2 linked regions of the Oryctolagus cuniculus genome follow. The protein of the gene in region 1 purifies or fractionates together with the protein of each later gene. This does not show direct contact. Links are inferred from orthologs where the notes say so. Each region holds a gene or a part of one and is shown on either strand. Other genes may lie near its edges.

The links. The genes of interacting proteins can lie anywhere in the genome.
Region 2: the proteins of NCOA6 (region 1) and PAXIP1 purify together in Homo sapiens (co-immunoprecipitation; 6 studies listed by BioGRID and IntAct, with this or other methods). This does not show direct contact. The link is inferred for Oryctolagus cuniculus from reciprocal best matches to the Homo sapiens genes NCOA6 and PAXIP1.

The regions. Positions count from the first base shown.
Region 1 is NC_091442.1:23,281,808-23,291,924, reverse strand, and holds the start of NCOA6 (nuclear receptor coactivator 6), read right to left. Parts: upstream 6,598-10,117; 5' UTR 6,371-6,597; intron 5,342-6,370; exon of another isoform or gene 5,166-5,341; intron 5,033-5,165; exon of another isoform or gene 4,950-5,032; intron 1-4,949. UniProt on the Homo sapiens protein: Nuclear receptor coactivator that directly binds nuclear receptors and stimulates the transcriptional activities in a hormone-dependent fashion. Coactivates expression in an agonist- and AF2-dependent manner.
Region 2 is NC_091438.1:18,737,535-18,747,679, forward strand, and holds the start of PAXIP1 (PAX-interacting protein 1), read left to right. Parts: upstream 1-5,231; 5' UTR 5,232-5,304; coding exon 5,305-5,385; intron 5,386-9,412; coding exon 9,413-9,547; intron 9,548-10,145.

The DNA.
Region 1 (10,117 bases):
AGATTTTTTTATTTCAACCCCAAAAGCAAAAGCAACAAACAAAAATACGTGATATCAAACTAAAAGCCTTCTGTACTGCAAAGGAAACAATCAAAACTGTGAAGAGACAACCTGCAGAACATGTAAAAATAATTTTTTAATTAATTAATTTATTTGAAAAGCAAAGTTAGGGAGACAGATAGCAAGTGAGATATTCCATCCGCTGGTTCACTCCCCAAGTGATCACATTAAAAAATGAGCAAAGGATAGATATTTCTCAAAAGAAATACAAATGGCTAACAGATATATGAAGGAATACTCAACACTAATCATCAGACAAATGCAAATGAATAACACAATGAGCTATCATTTCACTCCAGTCAGAATGGCTATCTCTTACCAAAAAGACAAAGTAACAAATGCTGGCAAGGATGCAGAGAAAGTAGAACTTTCTCTCTCTCTCTCTCTTTTTTTTTTTTTTTTTTTTTGACAGGCAGAGTGGACAGTGAGAGAGAGAGACAGAGAGCAGAGAGAAAGGTCTTCCTTTGCCGTTGGTTCACCCTCCAATGGCTGCCGCGGCCGGCACACCACGCTGATCCGAAGCCAGGAGCCAGGTGCTTCTCCTGGTCTCCCATGCGGGTGCAGGGCCCAAGCACTTGGGCCATCCTCCACTGCACTCCCGGGCCACAGCAGAGAGCTGGCCTGGAAGAGGGGCAACCAGGACAGAATCTGGCGCCCCGACTGGGACTAGAACCCGGTGTGCCGGCGCCGCTAGGCGGAGGATTAGCCTAGTGCGCTCGCCGGCAGAACTTTCATATACTGTTGGTGGAGTGTAAATCAATACAGTCATTATTAAAAATAATATAGACATTAAAAAAATAGAATAGAGAGGCCAGCATTAAGGCCTAGGAATCAAGGGAAAAAGAAATAAAAAGACTTATTTATTTACTATTTGGAAGTCAGAGGTACAGAGGGAGAGAGAGATCCTCCACTTGCTAATTCACTCCCCAAATGGCCACAACAGCCTGGGCTGGGCCAGGCCAAAGCCAAGAGCTCCATCCCCATCTCCCATATGGGTGCAGGGGCCCAAGCACTGGGCCCATCCTCCCCTGCCTTTCCAGCAGAGCTGGATTGGAAGTGAAACAGCCAGACCATAAGGACTATGCCACAATACTGGCCCTATAGGGAAGGTTTTGGAAAGAGTGATGTTTGAGATGCATCTTAAAAGAAACCGGTTTGCCAGTGACAGTTGGAAAGAAGAGATTTTCAGGTAGACTTACATTTTCAGGGAATGTAATTGTAGCTGGAGCACAGAGTGGTAGTAAAGTATAATCAGGGGCCAGTGCTACAGCACAGCAGGTTAAGCCACTGCTTGGGATGAAGCATGCATATGGGCACAGGTTTGTGTCCAAGCGTTCCATTTCTGATCCAGTTCCCTGCTGATGAGCCTGGGGGGTGGGGGTGGGGTGGAATGTGTGCAGAGTTCCAGGGTCCCAGCTTCCACTTGGTCCAGCCATTGCTGCCATTTGGGAAGTGAAGCAGCAGATGCAAGATCTCTCTACCTCTCTCTGTGTAACTCTATCCTTCAAAAGCAAAAAATAACCAACTTTAAAAAGCAGAAGGGGAAAAAGCAAAGTGTAGTCTGAGATGAGACTGGGAAGGTTGTAGGGGACCTGGTTCTGAAATATATTGCTATCAAGTTTGGATGGAATCCTCAGCTGAGTGGGAGGCATTCAAGATTTTAGGTTTTTTTGTTGCTGTTGTTGTTTTTGACAGGCAGAGTTAGACAGTGAAAGAGAGAGAGAGAGGGAGAGAAAGGTCTTCCTTTTCCATTGGTTCACCCCACAAGTGGTCGCTATGGCCGGCGCGCGTTGCACCAATCCGAAGCCAGGAGCCAGGTGCCTCTCCTGATCTCCAGTGGGGGTGCAGGGCCCAAGGACCTAGGCCATCCTCCACTGCCTTCCCAGGCCACAGCAGAGAGCTGGACTGGAAGAGGAGCAACCGGGACAGAATCCGGCACCCCAACCGGGACTAGAACCCAGGGTGCCAGCGCCACAGGCCGAGGATTAGCCTAATGAGCCATGGCGCCGGCCAAGATGCAGGCATCTTAACCACTAGGCCAAATGCTTGTACCCTTAAAGACTTCTCAATCCTTTCAGTCTAGCATCATGCTTGACATATACTAGATCTTGATACAGAGCAAATGTCTTTTCAGTAGAAGACATGCTTGGTGGCAGGAATTTTGTTTGTTTGTTTTTCAGATTTATTTGAAAGGAAGTTAGAGAGAAAGAGGGTAGGAGAGAGAGAAAGAGATCTTCCAACCACTGGTTCACTCCCCAAACAGCTGCAATAGCCAGGGCTTGGACCAGGCAGCAGCCAAGGGCCAGGAGCTTCTTCCAAGTATCCCATCTGGGTATAGGGGCCTATCTTCTGTTGCTTTCCCAGGAGCATTAGCAGGTAGTAGAATTGGATGTGGAGCAGAGGGGACATGAACTAGTCCATAAGGGATACTGGAGTCATAGGCAGCAGCTCAACCTGTTATACCATAACACTGGCTTCAGAAGTAGGGTTTTTGAACATAGGGGTTCACAAAATGGGAGCCCCCAGGTAGAATATGTGTGTGTATAGGGGGGTGTCTGTGAACTCAGATCTATAAAAGACCTTTACTTACACTAACCTCTAATGGAAAGTTACCATTTTATTCAAATATGAACATAGGTAACAAATCATTCTAGTATTAGCAGTACCTGTGACTCTAACAACAGCAATCACAAATTCGATGGTACTTCAAAAAGTTCATGGAAAAATGGAATTAAATGCATGTTTTGGTGCAAATTATTTTTCATAATATGTGGAAATGTATATTATAAAAAAACTACACAAGGATTCCAAAATTTTTTGTACTTGGGCCAGCATTGTGGCACAGCCAGTTAAGCTGTCACTTGTGATGCAAGCATTCCATATCAGAGTGCTGGTTCAAGTCCTAGTTGCTCTATTCCCAATCCAGCTTCCCGCTAACCTAAGTGGGAAGGCAGTGGATGACAGTTCAAGTACCTGGGCCTCTGCCACTTATGTAGAGGATCAGGATGGTGTTCCTGGCTCCTCAGACCTGTCTCTTGGGGCCATGTGAGGACTGAAGCAACAGATGGACGAGCTATCTCTCTCTCCCCCCTCTCATTTTCTCCCTTCTTCCTCCCTCTGTCATTTTGCCTTTGAAATAACTCTCTAAAATTTTTTTTGCACCAAAATAACTGCTTTAATTTCATTTTCCAGAAGCTTTTCTTTATATAAAGATTTTATTATTTGATAGGCAGAGATACAGGGAGAGAGGGGTAGACAGACAGACAGACAGACAGACACAGACAAGGAGAGAGATCTTCCATCCACTGATTCACTCCCCAAATGGCTGCAATGGCCGGGGCTGGGTCAAACCAAAGCCAGGAGTTTCATGTAGGTCTCCCATGTTGGGGCGTGGACCCAGGTACCAAGTCCATCTTCCACTGCTTTCCCAGACACATTAGCAGGGAACTAGATTGGAACTGGAGCAGCCAGAACTCAAACCAGCATTCACATGGGATGCTGGCTTTGCAGGCATTAGCATAGCTTGCATTGCCACAATGCTGGTCCCTTCCAGGAGCTTTTTGAAATACCCTCATATGTATATATTGTATCACAATTGTTACAGCTATCTTGACATATTGTTTATGCTCATGATGTCTTTGAAATTATAATTATCAGATCCACCCCCACAAGATCTAATTTTTTTGTTTTTTAATTCTTCACTTTATTTTGCAAGGTTTACTTTATTTGTTTGAACAGCAGAATGACAAAGAGGGAAGCACAGGCAGTAAGAGAGGTCTTCCATTGTCTGGCTCACTTCCCAAATGGTAGCAGTGGCCAGGGTTGGGCCAGCCTGAAGGCAGGAACCTAGAACTCTGCCTGGGTCTCCCATGTAGGTGGCAGAGGCTGAAGAACTTGGGCCATCCTGCACTACTTTCCCAGTTACATTAGCAGGGAGCTGAACTGGAAGCAGAGCAGCCAGGACTTGAACCAGCAGTGCGATAGCGGATGCCGATGTTGCAGGTAGTGGCTTAATCTTCTGTGCCACCACACCAGCCCCCAGATCTAATTCATTAATGTGCTGATAAAGAAGTATGTATACACATACACCCACCTCCTCACATACTTGCTTGTATTAGTTTATCATAATTTATATATTTTGATAATTGCATTTCAAATAATTGGTTTTCTCTGTAATCTAATATACTTTATACAAATAAAAATATTTTTTCTGAGAGGTTTAATAAACCTCGCCAAATAGTAAAAGGTCCCACGGCACACATAAGGTCAGGCCTCCTGCCTTAGAAAAATCTAGAAAAAACGGATTGTGTTGTACATACATACAGCATTGAAAATCCTATGTTATGAATGCCTTCATCACCTCTTTGTTGAAAGTCCTTTTTGATTACATGGTTGTCCCTTAGTTTCAGTGAAAGACGGTCTCCCTCCCCCAATACCAAAATTCAAGGCTAATTCAAGTCTCTTATAAAATGGCATAGTATCTGCATATAACCTACACATGTCCTCTCCTATATTTTAAATTGTCTCTATGTTATTTATAGTACCTAATACAATGTAAATGCTATGTACATATAGTTACACTGTACCATCTGGGGAAGCATGACCAAAAAAATAGCCTGTGCATGTTCAGTACTGATACAATGTATCTTCCTAAATATTTTCAATTGGTGGTTGTTGAATCCACAAGTGTGGACCCACAGGAATGGAGCACCCACTGGATATCATGACTGAAACACAAGGTTTCCTTCAGAAGTCTCCTCACAGTTCATGTAAACTTTGAACTCTTGCCTACGGTGATGGACCATCAATTACAGTTTGAACATGAGATTCTGGATCGCTATCCTTGTTCATTGTTGTTTCTTAGTTTTTTGTGTTCCTTTGCTGTACAGTAAACAGGAAGAAGAGAAGGTTCACCTACTAAAATGGAAGAAAATGAGAGGATTTTGAAGATAACTTCTTTGCACAAATGGAGGTGAGCGCTGATATATCAAATAGCTGGTTAGTTATTCTTTTTGGAAGCCCCCTCAGACTTTGTACAAACTCCTTACAAAAATAAAACAAATGCTTAACAGTTCCATGATATATGCTTAACACTATTCTTCCAGCAAGCAAATTCCCTCAAGACAATGAGCGAATGAGGAGGAAGCACAACCACGTCCAGGAGCCCCTCTGCCACTGAACTCCTAAGATCTCAGGGAAGCCAAAGCCACGACAAGATCTGAAAAGTATCCCATGAGCTCGGAGGCCGTTGTAGCTTTTACATATTTACTCTTCTGTACCATTCTTACTGGCTCAATTAAGACCTTTTTGATGACCTCCCCAGGTGACCCTGCTCTTAAGCAGTGGGCTGTCCCCTTCCTGTGAAGACACCTTGGGTCACCACCTCCAAACAGCCTGGTCCCTCCTTTTAAAGATACACACAACTCCATAAGTTGATGGAGGTTCTCTCCCTTCTTGCCAAGCAGTTCCACTCTCTGCACCCCCTTCTGCTGGCCAGCTCCTGCCCTCAAACCACAGCCCTCCTTTTCTCTCCCCATCAACTCTTCCGTTTTTATGATGCTCCCCTCAAAATGAGGTGAAGGCTCCGTGGGACACAAAAGTCCTTAATCCCTTAAGAGTTACAGGGGCTTGCAATTCTGTCCCCAAGATCCCAGGACTGCCCCAATTTGATACATTCATCTGTAGCAAAAAGGCCCCCATTTCTAATCAATCACCTCCTCTCCTCCCCTCCCCTCCCCTCCCCTCCCTGCAAAGACCAGCTCCAGCCCTGACAGCCTGAGCTGGGCCCCCACACCGCCTACCTGCCCTGGGGGTCTGAACACCGCCACGGCCTAACACGGCTCCACGTCCTGCCATCCCCCCAGCCCAGGGACCTCCGACCCCGGTTCCGTTCGGATCCAGTGTCCCTTCTTCGCGATCCTAGCCTCGACCCCAAGTCCGGCCCCTGCCAGTTCCCTGGGCCTGGAGCGCCACCCCGTGCAGACCCCGGCCAGCCCTGCACTCCCTCGACGCCCCGAACCCCACGTCCCGCACCCTCCCCAGCCTCGGCCGGGCCGCCGCTCCCTCCAGCGCCCCCGCCCGCAGGCCCGGGGCCCGCTCCCCAACATGGCGACGGGGACACGAGCGCGGCGGGCGGGCGGGGCGGCTCCGGGCCGGGCCCGCACTCGGGCCGTGCCGCACGACCGCCCGGCGCCATTTTCCCGCGCCGGGCCCGGGCAGCACCTCCTCCCCGCGAAGCCAGCCAGGCCGAGACCGCGGACGCCGGGCGGGCGGGCCCACCCCTTACGGGCCCGCGTCGCCGTCGCCTCACCTGAGCGCGGCCCCGGCCCTCCCGGGCGGGCCTCGGAGCGCCGGCCCGGGCCGTGCGTGCCCGCCGCCCTCCGTGCGTCCGTCCGTCCGTCCTCTCGTGCGCCCGTCTGTCCTGCCGTCGGCGCCCGGCCGCCCGCAGCCCGACCCGGCAGGGCCTCAGGGAGCCGGCGGGGAGGGGGATGGGCCGGACCGGGCCAGGGAGGGAGGGGGAGGGAGGGAGAGAGGGAGGGAGCGCGGGAGGGGGCGGGGCGGGCCCGAGGGGGCGGGGCCCTGCACACGTGACCAAACGTCCCCGGGAGCGCGTGGAGCGCGCACCCGCTCAATTGGGTGCCCGGGGCTTAAAATCTGGATCCCGCGGGTCCGCGTCTGCTTCCGGTAGTCGCTTCGCTTGTGGCTCCCACCTTGGAAGCGCTGCGCAGCTCCTTGCCGCGCTCTGGCTGAGTGTCCTGGGACATGGCAACTCTCCGAGCCTCAGTTTACCCAACTGAAATCTGGAGATAATAATAATGCTTGCAAAGCGGAGATGAAGCGCTTGGCACGGTGCTTGGCATTAACTGAGAAAGAGAACGGTCGTTACCGTTACTTGCCTGTGAGTTTCGACCCTGTGCCGTCACCACCATCTCGCCAGCAAGCTCAGTGGACAGAATTCCTGAGTGAATGAGTGCCACCCTCCCCTCCCCCAGGTGTAGCCAGGCATCCCCGTGGCACAGAGGCCTCCTGGACTTTCTCTGCCTCTCTGGACCTCGCCTTCCTCATCTGTAATGTGGAAGTTGGGGGTCTGTGCATCAGGGAAGACTGGAGACTGAGCAAGTGGGCTGTGAACTGTGGGAGCTGCTCAGTCATGGGGTCCCATCTAACAAAAGGGACTGGGGAACCCTTTCATTCCACAGACGGGTCTTGAGCACCCACTGGGCGTTTGCACTAATGCAGTAGCCACCAAATGGCCTCACACCCATCCTGGCCCACTTCCAGCCTATCACCCACTTTGTTGTCGAAGCTTCTACCTCAGAAATCTGGCCGTGTCACTCCCCTACTTAAAACTGTTGATGGTTCCACATTGCTCTAAGGGTAAACGAGTACCTGTTTTCTACCCCGCATTTCCATTCTTGTCTCAGGGCTCCCTTCTGCTCTTTGGGTTGCCACTCCAGTGACCTGTTTGGCACATTGCACTCCCTTCTCGGGACCCTTGCACACTCCACGCTCTCCCCAGGTAGATAGCTAACTCATCAGCCTTCGATCCTGGCTCAAACATGGCTACTCCAAGGCAGCCTTCACTGACCGCTCCCCAGACAAGTTCTCTTATGCCATGCACTTGTCCTTAATTAGAATGCAGTAGGTTACTACGCCTGTGCCAGTTCACTGTGGTCTACATGAAAGGGGAGCCCCGTCTGTTTTGTTTCCTCAGCACTCAGCACGGTGCCTGGCACTGAGTAGGTGCTCAGTGAGTATTCCATGTGTGTGTGTGGACCCTAGGTGCCCTGCTAGGGACTACACCCAAGAGAGCAGATACCCAAAGAGAACCACAGGCAGCCACAAGAGGGCACTTTAGACTTTTGGGTCTACAAAATTAACCAGATGGATTTAGAAAGAACCTGGGGCCTGGAAAAAAAAAATTTTGATAGTTTTTTCTTCTTTTAACTTTCAAAAACTGAGGTATAATCTGTATACAGTAAAATGCAAAAATCTTAAGTCCATATCTACTAAATGTTTTACCAATGATCCCATATTTCCAGGGCACAGACCCAGTTATCAGTCCAGAAAGCTCCCTTTTGTCCCCGTCCATGTTTCCCCAGAAGTCAGGGGTGTTCTGACCTCCAGCACCACAAACATTGACAGTTGTTGAACTTATTATGAAAAGAAGCATATGGCAATTGCTCTTTTGTGTTAGCCTGGAAATCAGACATAACCAAAAAAAGAGTGACTATTTGGATAATACAATTAATGAATTGCTTGATTAAGTAATCTGAAAGACTAAGTGAAACTTCGGTTACTTCATGGTGTGGAGACAGGGGTCCTGCCAACAGCTAACCCAGAGGCTGACTGGATGTCATCCACACATCTTCAAGCCCAACAGAAATTTCTAGAGCTAGCAAAGCTCTGAACGTTTCCAAAAACTCAACAACAAAATTCAATTTAAAAACAGGAGAAGGACTTGGAAAAGACATTTCTCCAAAGAAAATGTACAGATGGCTAATAGGCATATGAAAAGATGCTCAACCTTACTAGTCATCAGGGAAGTACAAGTCTAAAGCATAATGGGATACTGCTTCATACTCATTAGGTTAGCTATTATGCATAAAAGGGAGAAAATAACAAGTTTTGTTAAAAATGTGAGAAATTGGAACCATCATGCATTGTTGGTAACAATGTAAATGGTGTATCCACCATGGAAAACAGTTGGGCAGTTTCTCAAAAAGTTAAACAAAGGATTTCCATATGAGCCAGCATATTCTACTTCAGGATATTTATCCAAAAGAAGTGAAAGCAAGGACTTGCACAGATATGGGTACACCTGTTTCATAACAGCATTACTCACAATAGCCAACAAGTAGAAGCAATTTAAGAGTCTATCAACAGATGAATGGATTAAAAAATGTGGTATATTCAATGGAGTATTACTCAACCTTAAAAAGGGGCTGGTGCTTTGGTGTAGTAGGTTAAGCCTATGCCTGTGGTGCCGGCATCCCAAATGGGCACCAGTTCAAATCCCGGCTGCTCCACTTCTGATCCAGCTCCCTGCTAAATGGCCTGGGAAAGCAGTAGAAGATAGCCCAAGTGCTTGGGTCCCTGCACCCTTGTGGGAGACCCAGAAGAAGCTCCTGTCTCCTGGCTTCAGCCTGGCCCAGCCCCAACTGTTGCAACCATTTGGGGAGTGAACCAGTGGATGAAAGGTCTCTCACCCTCTCTCTCATTGTCTTGAAATTCTCAAGGAGGGCTTGCTCATCCCCAATCTACATCAACTTTCTGATTAACCATTCTCATAGTAGCCTTCATAGAGCTTATGGTGGTGGCAACTAACTCCATTATCTTTGTGCTTATTTCTTTAATGTTTGACTATTCTGTAGACTACCAACCCTGTAAAAAATAATTTGTCATGGTCAGTGCATAATCTGAATCTCCAGTGCCTAAGAAAGTGCCTGAAATACCATAGATGGATGCATGCATGAATGAATAACCGGTATTTGATACATATAGTATACGAGGTATACATTATAACTTCATTGTTTACTTAGTGGATGTGGAGTTGTCTAAGAGCACAAACTCTGGGGTTGGACATCCTGAGACTGAATCCAAATTCTTGTACTTTAATACATGAGAAATGTTAGACAAACCTCTTACACTCTTCTGCCGTTTCCCATCTGTAAAATTGGAATAATATCATTACCTACCTCATGAGGTTTGTAATGAAGGTTACGTAAGAATCTTCATATTTAAAGATTTATTTATTTATTTGAAAGTCAGAGTTATACAGAGAGAGGAAAGGGGGAGAGAGGTTTTCCATCCACTGGTTCACTCCCCAATTGGCTGCAATGACTGGAGCTGCGCCGAACCAAAGCCAGGAGCCAGGAGCTTCTTCTGGGTCTTCCATGCAGGTGCAGGGACCCAAGGACTTGGGCCATCTTCTACTGCTTTCCCAGGCCAGAATCTTCATATTTAAAGTGCTCAGCGTAGAGTCTAATACACATTAAATGCTCAATAGATTTTATCTATAATGATAATCATTATTGTTAATCATTATTAGTGCGAG
Region 2 (10,145 bases), on another chromosome or scaffold:
ATCCTGGTACACAAAGACCTCTTCTCCAAATCTCTGTTCCAATTGTGACTAATTCCACTAGTGTTAGCTTTGCATATAAAGTGTCTGTTAGTGTTTTGAGGGTAGACACAGACGTAAATAAAATGCATTGTCATGGTCAGCTTTTCATGTCCATTATAACAGAGTCACAGCTGGAAGCTTCCATTTGCTGGTTCACTCCAGAGAGTGCTGCAACATCTAGGACTGGGCCAGGGCAAAGGCAGGAGCCAGGAGATTCTTCCCATCTCCCATGTGGGTGGCAGGGGCCCAAACATTTGGGCCATCTTCTCCTGCTTTTTTCTAGGCCATTAGCAGGGAGCTGGATCAGAAAGGGAGCAGCTGGGACACAAACTGGCCCCCATATAGGATGCTGGTGGTGTAGGCAGTGGTTTTTCTTGCTTTGCCACAGTGCTGGCCCCAAGAGTTTGTTTTTTTGTTTGTTTGTTTTTTTTTTTTTTTTTTGACAGGCAGAGTGGACAGTGAGAGAGAGAGAGACAGAGAGAAAGGTCTTCCTTTTGCCGTTGGTTCACCCACCAACAGCTGCTGCAGCCGCTGCACCGCGCTGATCCGAAGCCAGGAGCCACGTGCTTCTCCTGGTCTCCCATGGGGTGCAGGGCCCAAGGACTTTGGGCCATCCTCCACTGCACTCCCGGGCCACAGCAGAGAGCTGGCCTGGAAGAGGGGCAACTGGGACAGAATCCTGTGCTCCGACCGGGACTAGAACCCGGTGTGCCGGCGCCGCAAGGCAGAGGATTATTAGCCTAGTGAGCCATGGCGCAGGCCAAAAACACCATTCTTTTCATATGAAGTTAATAATCCAAAATTCAACAGGTATCTATTGAGTAAAGATTTTTCTGGAATTTTTGTTTGATCCCTCATATGCATGAAAATATCCTGTAAAATTTGTAGAATTTTTTTTTTTTTAGCAACAAATGGCAGAAACTGGCAAAATGCCATCAGTGCCATTTCTTATTCCTGGACAGGTAGGAAGACTACATTACCCAGCCTCCCTTGTGGTTAGTCATGAGACAGGATTCTGGCCAATAGAAGTGGCTGGAAATGGAAACATGCTAGTCTCCAGAGACCTACAGAAGTGAGAATCCCTGACCTAAGTCCTCTTAACTCCTTGTGTGCTAATACAGTGTGCTAAATGAGATATGGGACAGGTTCTAACTTAAAGAATAGGACAGAACAATACATTATATGCAGTTTTAAAACTACCTCTCTTCATTGTAGCATTGTACACAACTGTTAAAACTGGAAACAAATGTGCAACAATACCAAACTAAATTTTGGTACAAAGAATGGGGTACTAAGCATAGAGCCTATTAATTACTGACCCTGAAGAACTAAAATATATGACAATGTCTGGAAGGATTTCAGTAGTGGTTGCTTATGGGTACAGGACTGGGGGGGGAGTAATTTACACTTTCCTTTCTTGTGCTTTCTAGATTTTTTTACATGAAATAGCTAAATCACTACTGGCCAATCCTGCCCACTGACAATGTCCTTTGGGTTCTCAGTTGCTTTTGCCATAGATCTTGAGCCTGCCTGTGCCTCTGACATAAGTATTCTATCCTTTTCATGTGCTTTGAATCTCCTCGGGAGAAGTGTTATATTTGGGGGTGGCACATGCATGAGCTATAGAAAAGAAATGCAAAGCTTCTGTTTAATGAACTGGTATTATTACCCTGATGGGGGTCATCTTGAGTCATAAGAGTACGAATTACCTATTTATCTGTGCAGACATATGGACATTTTATCTTCTGCTAAAAGCTATTTTCACTGTTTACCTTTACAAGTTGGTCACCTTTAAGTCCTCTGGTACACTTTTTTCTCCCCATAACTTCAGAATGTCAACTTTTTAGACTTAATGGGAATATCTATTATCCAAGTGAAAATAACTTTGATTTTTCCATTATTGGCCAAGAAGCCGTAGTTGTTGAGACTCTGAGGAGTGTTCTGTGTGACTCTGCCTCCAAGTCTTGCTGACACTAGTGCTGTAAGACTCACTGTATATACCACACTGACATTGCCCCGCTTATGACATTTAACAAATTCTGACAGGCTGATGGGATTTTTTTTAATATTTAATATTAATATTTATTTGACAGGTAGAGTTATAGACAGTGAGAGAGACAGAAAGGTCTTCCTTCCGTTGGTTCACTCCCCAAATGTCTGCTACGGCCAGACCTACGCCGATCCGAAGCCAGGAGCCAGGTGCTTCTTCCTGGTCTCCCATGCTGGTGCAGGGGCCCAAGCACCTGGGCCATCCTCCACTGCCTTCCCAGGCCACAGCAGAGAGCTGGACTGGAAGAGCAACTGGGATTAGAACCCAGTGCCCATATGGGATGCCGGCGCCGCAGGTGGAGGCTAAACCAAGTGAGCCACAGCACTGACCCCAGGTTGATGGGATTTTAAATAGCAGTAAATCCACAATGTGCCCACTAGCACTCGAAGGTAAAACTGTCATGCTTAATATTACAAACTGCTTTTTTTCTTTTCTATTTTAACTGAAAGGCTGATAGACCTGAGATAGGTATCTTCCATCTCCTGGCACATTTCCCAAATGCCTGCAACAGCCATGGCTGGGCTGAGCTGCAGTCAAGAGCTGGGAACTGGTTCTGGGCCTTTCACGTGGGTGGCAGGGACTTGAGTGGTGTTCAAGCCAGCATGTGCTGACTCCCAGGGTACACACTATCAGGGAGCAGGATTAGAACTGGTGCCAGGAATGGAAGCAGACACGTCAGATTAGGATGCAGGCGTCCCGGGCAAGGTTTTAACCACTGTGCTAAATGCCTGCCCCTACAAACTGCTTTATTAAAAAAAAAATTTTTTTAAACAAATTGCCTTTTTTTTTTTTTTTTGGACAGGCAGAGTGGACAGTAAGAGAGAGACAGAGAGAAAGGTCTTCCTTTGCCGTTGGTTCACCCACCAACGGCTGCCGCGGCCGGCGCACCACGCCTATCCAAAGGCAGGAGCCAGGTGCTTCTCCTGGTCTCCCATGGGGTGCAGGGCCCAAGCAGTTGGGCCATCCTCCACTGCACTCCCGGGCCATAGCAGAGAGCTGGCCTGGAAGAGGGGCAACTGGGACAGAATCCGGCGCCCCGACCGGGACTAGAACCTGGCGCTGCAAGGCGGAGGATTAGCCTAGTGAGCCAAGGCATCGGCCACAAATTGCTTTCTTAACTCACACAATACCTGTGTGAGGTCTGCTTCAAGTGTTTTAACATAAAATGTCATGCTCAGTTTTGTGTTTAACTTGGAAAACCAAAAGGCTGAATGCGTTCTCTTACACGTGCCAATAAAAAGGCATATGTTCTATATTTGGAAGTACAGTTTATTGCACTGACATTTTCTTAACACGGAACATAAAATGGTATAATGGTCAATATCAAGTATACTCTTGGGAATTCAAAGATTTTTCTGATTATAGAGGGATGTCATAAAGATCTTAAAATGCATGATAACTTCTTAGTTAATTCCTGTAGGCCAGCACTCCATGATTTTACTATTTGTAAGGGAAATTTCTTAGCCATAGAGTAGGGCTGTTTCCGACTGTTCGTGAGAGAAATGCAAAGGTTAAAGAAACAGAAAACATTGGGGCCGGCGCTGCGGCATAGAGGGTAAAGCCCTGGCCTGCAGGGCAGGCATCCCATATGGGCGCCTGTTCGAGTCCAGGCTGCTCCACTTCCAATCCAGCTCTCTGCTATGGCCTGGGACAGCAGTAGAGGATGGCCCAAGTCCTTGGGCCCCTGCACCCGTAAGGGAGACCTGAAAGAAGCTCCTGGCTTCGGATCGGCACAGCTCCGGCCGTTGTGGCCAACTGGAGAGTGAACCAGTGGATGGAAGACCTCTCTCTCTCTCTCTCTGTAACTCTTTTGGATAAATAAATAAATCTTCAAAAAAAAAAAAAAAAAGACCAGAAAACATTAGGGATAAAATATTATGTGTATTTTAATGTGTGCTGCTTTCTTTCTGTCTACCCCAAATCATTTATTATACGCAAATGTAAGGAAAACGACAACCGTAATCATCTGATTAACAAAGCCAGTATACACTGCATGCTCATCAATGAACCACACCAACTTTTAGTGGGGGACCTTACGTTTGAAAGACATTTAAAAAAAAACAATTTTCTGGTTTGTTGGGACAGCGGAAAGCCTGCACCCACCATCATGGCCTTTTAGCATAAAGCTGTCTCGGGGAGATGAACACGAAGCCACTCGGTACGGTGCGGTTATGGCTGGGAAAGGAAGGGATTAGCTGTAACACACAGAGGATCACTAAAATCATCACATCCAGTCTTCCCCGTCTCGCGCTGCGCTTTCGGGGGCTCGCGGCCGTCTCCCCCTGGGGTGACTGGCGCCCCACACCCGGGGGTCTGAGTTCTAGAATTTCTCTCCAGCATCGACCGACGCCATCAGCACCGGAGCCTGCGTCGGGGCACAGCGGAGCTGACGGACTGCCAGCGCGCTCTGACAGAGCCCGCGCGAGACGCCACCCGGCCGCCCTCGCCCTGCAGGCCCAAGCCCTCTTTACCCGCAGCTGGGATGCGCCTCCCGGGAGCGCCCGGCCTCCGGAACCCCGTGCCTGAGGGAACTCGGGCCCGCACAGCCTAGCCCTGGCCGCGAGCGGTTGAGGAATCACCCTAGGTCCAGACGAGCTCCCGGCACCACAGGGAACCGGGCAGGCCACAGACCGCCGCGCGACTCCGCTCCTGCCCCCAACCCAGCCACTAGCCCCGTGGCCCCGCCCCTCTGGGTGCACGCATGCGCCGCCCGGAGCGGCCGCGTGTGGTGACGGGAGGGGCCGCCCCATTCCCTTCTTTCCCCGGACTGGCTCACTCCAGCTCATCCCGGGGGGGGGAGGGAAGGCGGGCATCCCCAAGTCCCCGGGACCCCTTATTGGAGAGTGGCGGTCACGGACCTCCCGTCTGTAGAACGGGCTCTAGGATGCCATCACCCCCAGAGCTGCGAACTGCGGCGGAGGCCCTGGGCGGCGCGGCTGCCAGGCAGCTTCTCGCAGCTTCCCCTCGGCGGCCAGGGCGAGGTGGTGCGTCCCGCAGGGCGCGCGCGGCTCCCGCGCTTCGGGCGCTCGGCGCGGGCGGGGGCGCGGAGGGCGGGGGAGCGGGCCCCGATTCGCTGGACCGGGCCGGGGCCGCGCGGGCCGGGCCGTTGGTGGAGCGAGTGGGGGTACCGGCTGCTGCGGGCCGCGCGGGGGCCGGGGGTGGGTGGGTGGGCGGGGCCGGGCGCCGCTGCGGAGCCTTTCCGGGCTGCCGCGATCATGTCGGACCAGGCTCCCAAAGTTCCTGAGGAGATGTTCAGGGAGGTCAAGTATTACGCGGTGGGCGACATCGACCCGCAGGTACCGCGCCCGCGCCGCCGTGGCCTCCTTCTGCGTCCGCGTCCCCGTCCCGTCCCCGCTCCGCCGCGGGCGCGCGCGCCCGGGCGCTGAACGTCGGGCCCGCCGAGGTCCCGCCGAGGGCCGCCGGCCTTGGCTGCGCCGGGGGCAGGGGGCAGCGAGGCGCCGGCTTGGGCCCTGTGCGGCCGAGGGGGAGGGGACGGGGGCCTGCGGCGGGGGTGTGGGGGGAGGGGACGGGGCGACGGAGGGGCTTTGGCCTCGGCCCCTCGTGCGGCCGCCGGCCCCGGCGGGGGTTGCCCCCGCTCCAATCCCAGAACCCCTAGCCCGGGCTTGGCGCCGCGGTGCTGACCGTCCCAGTCTCCCACCTGCCTGGAGCAGTGTCCTTTTGGGGCGGGGGGAGCCCCGTGCTCGGCCGCCGCCTCGGCCCTGGGTGTCCTGTGCCTCTCTGGGGAGCGTAGTCCACTTTGCAGTGCATCCTCACCCTGGCCGCCTCTGTGGTCTTAGCTTGAGGCGAGCTGGTTTGAGGGTGCACTAGGAGACAGGTGAGGACAGGGGCTCCTGGGCGGTGTAGCTTTCTGCCAGGCAGCTCCAGTCCTGTGCGGTGCTGAGAGCGCTCACGGCACGCAGCAGCCTGCGTCCTCACATGTGGGGGCCGGCGTTGCTAGTCCTTGATTTTCCTAATCTGGTGAATTATACCAGAAGTGTGGAAGATACCCTGGTAATGCGATCGCTTTGAGCATTTTCATTTTCTCACACGCCGGAGGGTAGTGTGGGTTCTCCTAAGTAATATTATCTGTTTAATCATCGGGCTGTTGCTCGTCCATGGTAGGAATGGCTCCTAGTTGAGTATTACCTCCAGGTCAGTCTTCAGACCACTTCCTTTCGGAAGTTTCAGGGGGCAGTTATGTTGCTTTGGGTGTCCCATCAGCAGGGCTAACCCTGCAGGGATGCCGAATGATCAGAATTTAGGCATTGGGTGGGGGACACAACTATTGAGCGATAAACTTGGCTCCTACCGGAAGACTTGTGGAAGGCTGATTGGCCTTGGCCTGCTAAAGGCTTATACTGGGCTTCTTAGAAACTAAACTCCCTTGGATGCTTTTTCCTCTGTAACTAGGGTCAAGACACTGATGGCTTCGAATCTGAAGAGTTAGACAAGTGCTGAACCCAGTGTGATCCAAATGAGTACTTGTAAGATAGAAGTGTCTTCCTGTAGTCACTGCCCACCGCTCTCTCCCTTCCCCTTCCTGTTTGATTTTAGGACTTTGGGTCTTTGGGGGTTCTTGAGCCAAATGTTACTTAAAACCTGGAACAAACTGAACCAGAACTCTGGTTTCTCAGATCTAGGGGCTTAAAATTGTCCTTGGCAAACCCCTTTGCCAGAAACAGTATATATGTTTTAAGATTTATTTATTTGAAAGGCAGTTTCCAAGAAAGACAGAGAGATCTTCCCATCCACTGCTTCACTCCTCAAATGGCTGCAACAGCCTTGGGATGGATTGGCTGAAGCTAAGAATCTGGAACTCCATCCGGGTCTCCCATGTGGGTGGCAAGGGCACAAGTTCTGGGACTCAAACCTACTCTCATTTGGGTTGCCAGCATCACAGGCAGTGGCTTGGGCCGCTCTGCCACGATACTGGCTTCTGAAATAGTATATATATATTTTGAAGATTTGTTTATTATTTGAAAGGTAGAGTTACAGGGAGGCAGAGCAGAGAGAGAGAGAGGTCTTCCATCCGATGGTTCGCTCCCCAGATGGCCGCAATGACTGGAGCTGCACCTATGCAAAGGCAGGAGCCTGGAACTTCTTCTGGGTCTCCCACGTGGGTGCAGGGGGCTCAAGGACTTGGGCCATCTTCCACTGCTTTCTCAGGCCATAGCAGAGAGCTGGATCGGAAGAGGAACAGCCAGGACTCGAACTGGCACCCATATGGGATGACAGCACTGCAAGTGGTGGCTTTACCGGCTACGCCACAGTGCTGGCCGACAAATAGTATATTTTTAAAAATTTTTAGAGCCAGAATTTCTGGTTTTCTGAATGTTGTAAACATGGATTTGAAAGTTCACATGTATTAAACATCTAGTACGTGTCAGGCTTTGGACTAGGTACCAGGTGTAATAAAATGACGACATGGTAGCTGTTTTTGAGGACTCCTCATATTGCTGGAGGAGGGAGCACACCTGAGCACATTGGTGGATGCTGCAAGACCAGGTTTCTCTGCTGGGATGTGGATAAGACCACTGAAATGTCATTAGATAGGTGCCATTTCGGTTAGGTCTTAAGGTAAACAGAAGTTAAAAAGTTGAAAGACTTTTCTTTGTATGTGCTGAAGAATGAAAAAAGCAATGTATTTTTAATACATTTTTAGTACAATTTTAATACATCAGGGTGATCACATGAGCCACATGAGATCAATTGGTAATCTAGAGATTCAGTAGTATGGAGGTTGAAAAGAAGCTATTACTTTTGGCATCCTCAAAGTTCATGAAAATTGAGTCAGTTTCTAGTAGTTGGTGGTGCTGATGTTCAGTGTTGAGGGAAGTGGCACAACTGCAGAGAGTTGAAGAGTAATTGGGAAATGAAGGCAAAAAGGTTAGGCTGGTTTCAGGGAATTTGTTGTGAGAAGCGGAGAAGGGAATAGAGGAAGATAAAGGGCCAGGGGAGGATCTGGGTTGCATGCATCTGCAGTAAGGGTGTGGGGCGGCATAGCTGTGGAGGCGGAGAGGGTGGAATCTCAGGACTCATAAAAAGGCAATAGGGTCAGACTGGAAGGTAATAAAAAGAGGGGTAGGTAGGTCTGTCGCATGGACGTGTAAAGCTGACGAGGCTTGGGGGTCAAGGGAAGAAAGAAAAGTGAGGGGGCTAAAACAAAGATCTGGCCTCTCTTGTACGTATCTGCTGATCAATAAGATACTAAAGGTCACTCATTTTAGCTCTCTGGGCACCCTGTCGCATTCATGTTTGTGTACTTTCAGTTGCATATTACTCTGCTGTTGCGCATCCCTCCGCTTCCTTGGCTCTGCTGGCAGGTTGAGTACTCTTCCTGTGCCTGAAGAATTGCTAGTATGTAACCTTCAGTTCACCTGCGCACTACACACCGGGAGGGATCTCATTCCCTCAGAGCCTTGGCTATGTTCTGTTATGCTGAGGATACCCAATCAGGAAAGCACCAATCCTTTGCTACATAAAAGGATGCTTCTTGCCAGATGTTCGGCATGGTGGCAAAGAGCAGTGTAGCCCACACTACAGCTTGTGCTGGCTGTCCCCTCCTTGTACTTTTCCTTTGGCATCCCTCAGTGTGTGGTACCCTAATTCCCAGCATTTCCATCTTGGCCTGTACCCCCTCCAGTCACCACGTCTTGCTAATTTTCTTACATCTTCCTTCTTCCTAGTGACATTGTTTAGTGCAGTTAGTTGCCTCCTTATTGATCTCCTGCCACCCCAGTGCTTTCTTTTGTGGTCGTCCATCTATATAATCTCTCTGTATAATCTTCCTATATAATCTGCCACTTCCGTGCTATCCCCTGGCTCATGTGGATAGCTGGAAATGAACTGCACTTTCTTTTTTTTTTATAACACATAAGAAATATTGATGGTCTGATCGTATGTATCAAAGACTTGTCCCAGAACTTGGATGTTGTTCCCTGCTCACATGAATATATTTTGCTTGACTGACAGTTACTACATTTCTAAGGACTCTACTCAAATATGACTATCTCCTCATCTGGAAAGTTTCCCCAGTTACAGTGAAACTACCCGCCCCCTACCTTTCAGCTGGAGATTCAGGAGTGTCTGTGCAGCTCTGTCTCAAGGATGGGCTTACCTAGCTACTGGCCTGCAAGAGCCTCTACTTGTTGATGAATTAGGATTTGCTGGTTTTGTAGTTGTTGTTGTTGTCGTCCCTAAATTATTCAGAGTAAAATGCTGTTAATTCTATGCAGGGAATATGGTGTATTTTCCAATAATTACTTTTATAAATTAAAGTAGCCTGATATTTTCCATTTTAACTTGGATATTTTTGCTTTTTAGGTTATTCAGCTTCTGAAAGCTGGAAAAGCCAAGGAAGTCTCCTACAATGCATTAGCCTCACACATAATTTCAGAGGATGGGGACAATCCAGAGGTTGGAGAAGCTCGGGAAGTCTTTGACTTACCTGTGGTTAAGGTCAGTAGTAAATTAATTAATTCTGCATTTCTTTATCATGTACATTTTTTTTTTTTTAATAAGATTTTACTGGGCTGGCGCCGCGGCTCACTAGGCTAATCCTCCGCCTTGCGGCGCCGGCACACCGGGTTCTAGTCCCGGTCGGGGCACCGGATTCTGTCCCGGTTGCCCCTCTTCCAGGCCAGCTCTCTGCTGTGGCCCGGGAGTGCAGTGGAGGATGGCCCAGGTCCTTGGGCCCGCACCCGCATGGGAGACCAGGAGAAGCACCTGGCTCCTGGCTTCGGATCAGCGCGATGGGCTGGCCGTAGCGCGCCGGCCACGGTGGCCATCTGTCTCTCTCTCTCACTGTCCACTCTGCCTGTCAAAAAAAAAAAAAAAAAAAAAAAGAATATTTACTGGCCGGCGCTGCTGCTCACTTGGCTAATCCTCCGCCTACGTCGCCAGCACCCCGGGTTCTAGTCCTGGCTGGGGCACTGAATTCTGTCCCGGTTGCTCCTCTTCCAGTCCAGCTCTCTGCTGTGGCCCGGGAGTGCAGTGGAGGATGGCCCAAGTGCTTGGGCCCTGTACCCGCATGGGAGACCAGAAGGAAGCACCTGGC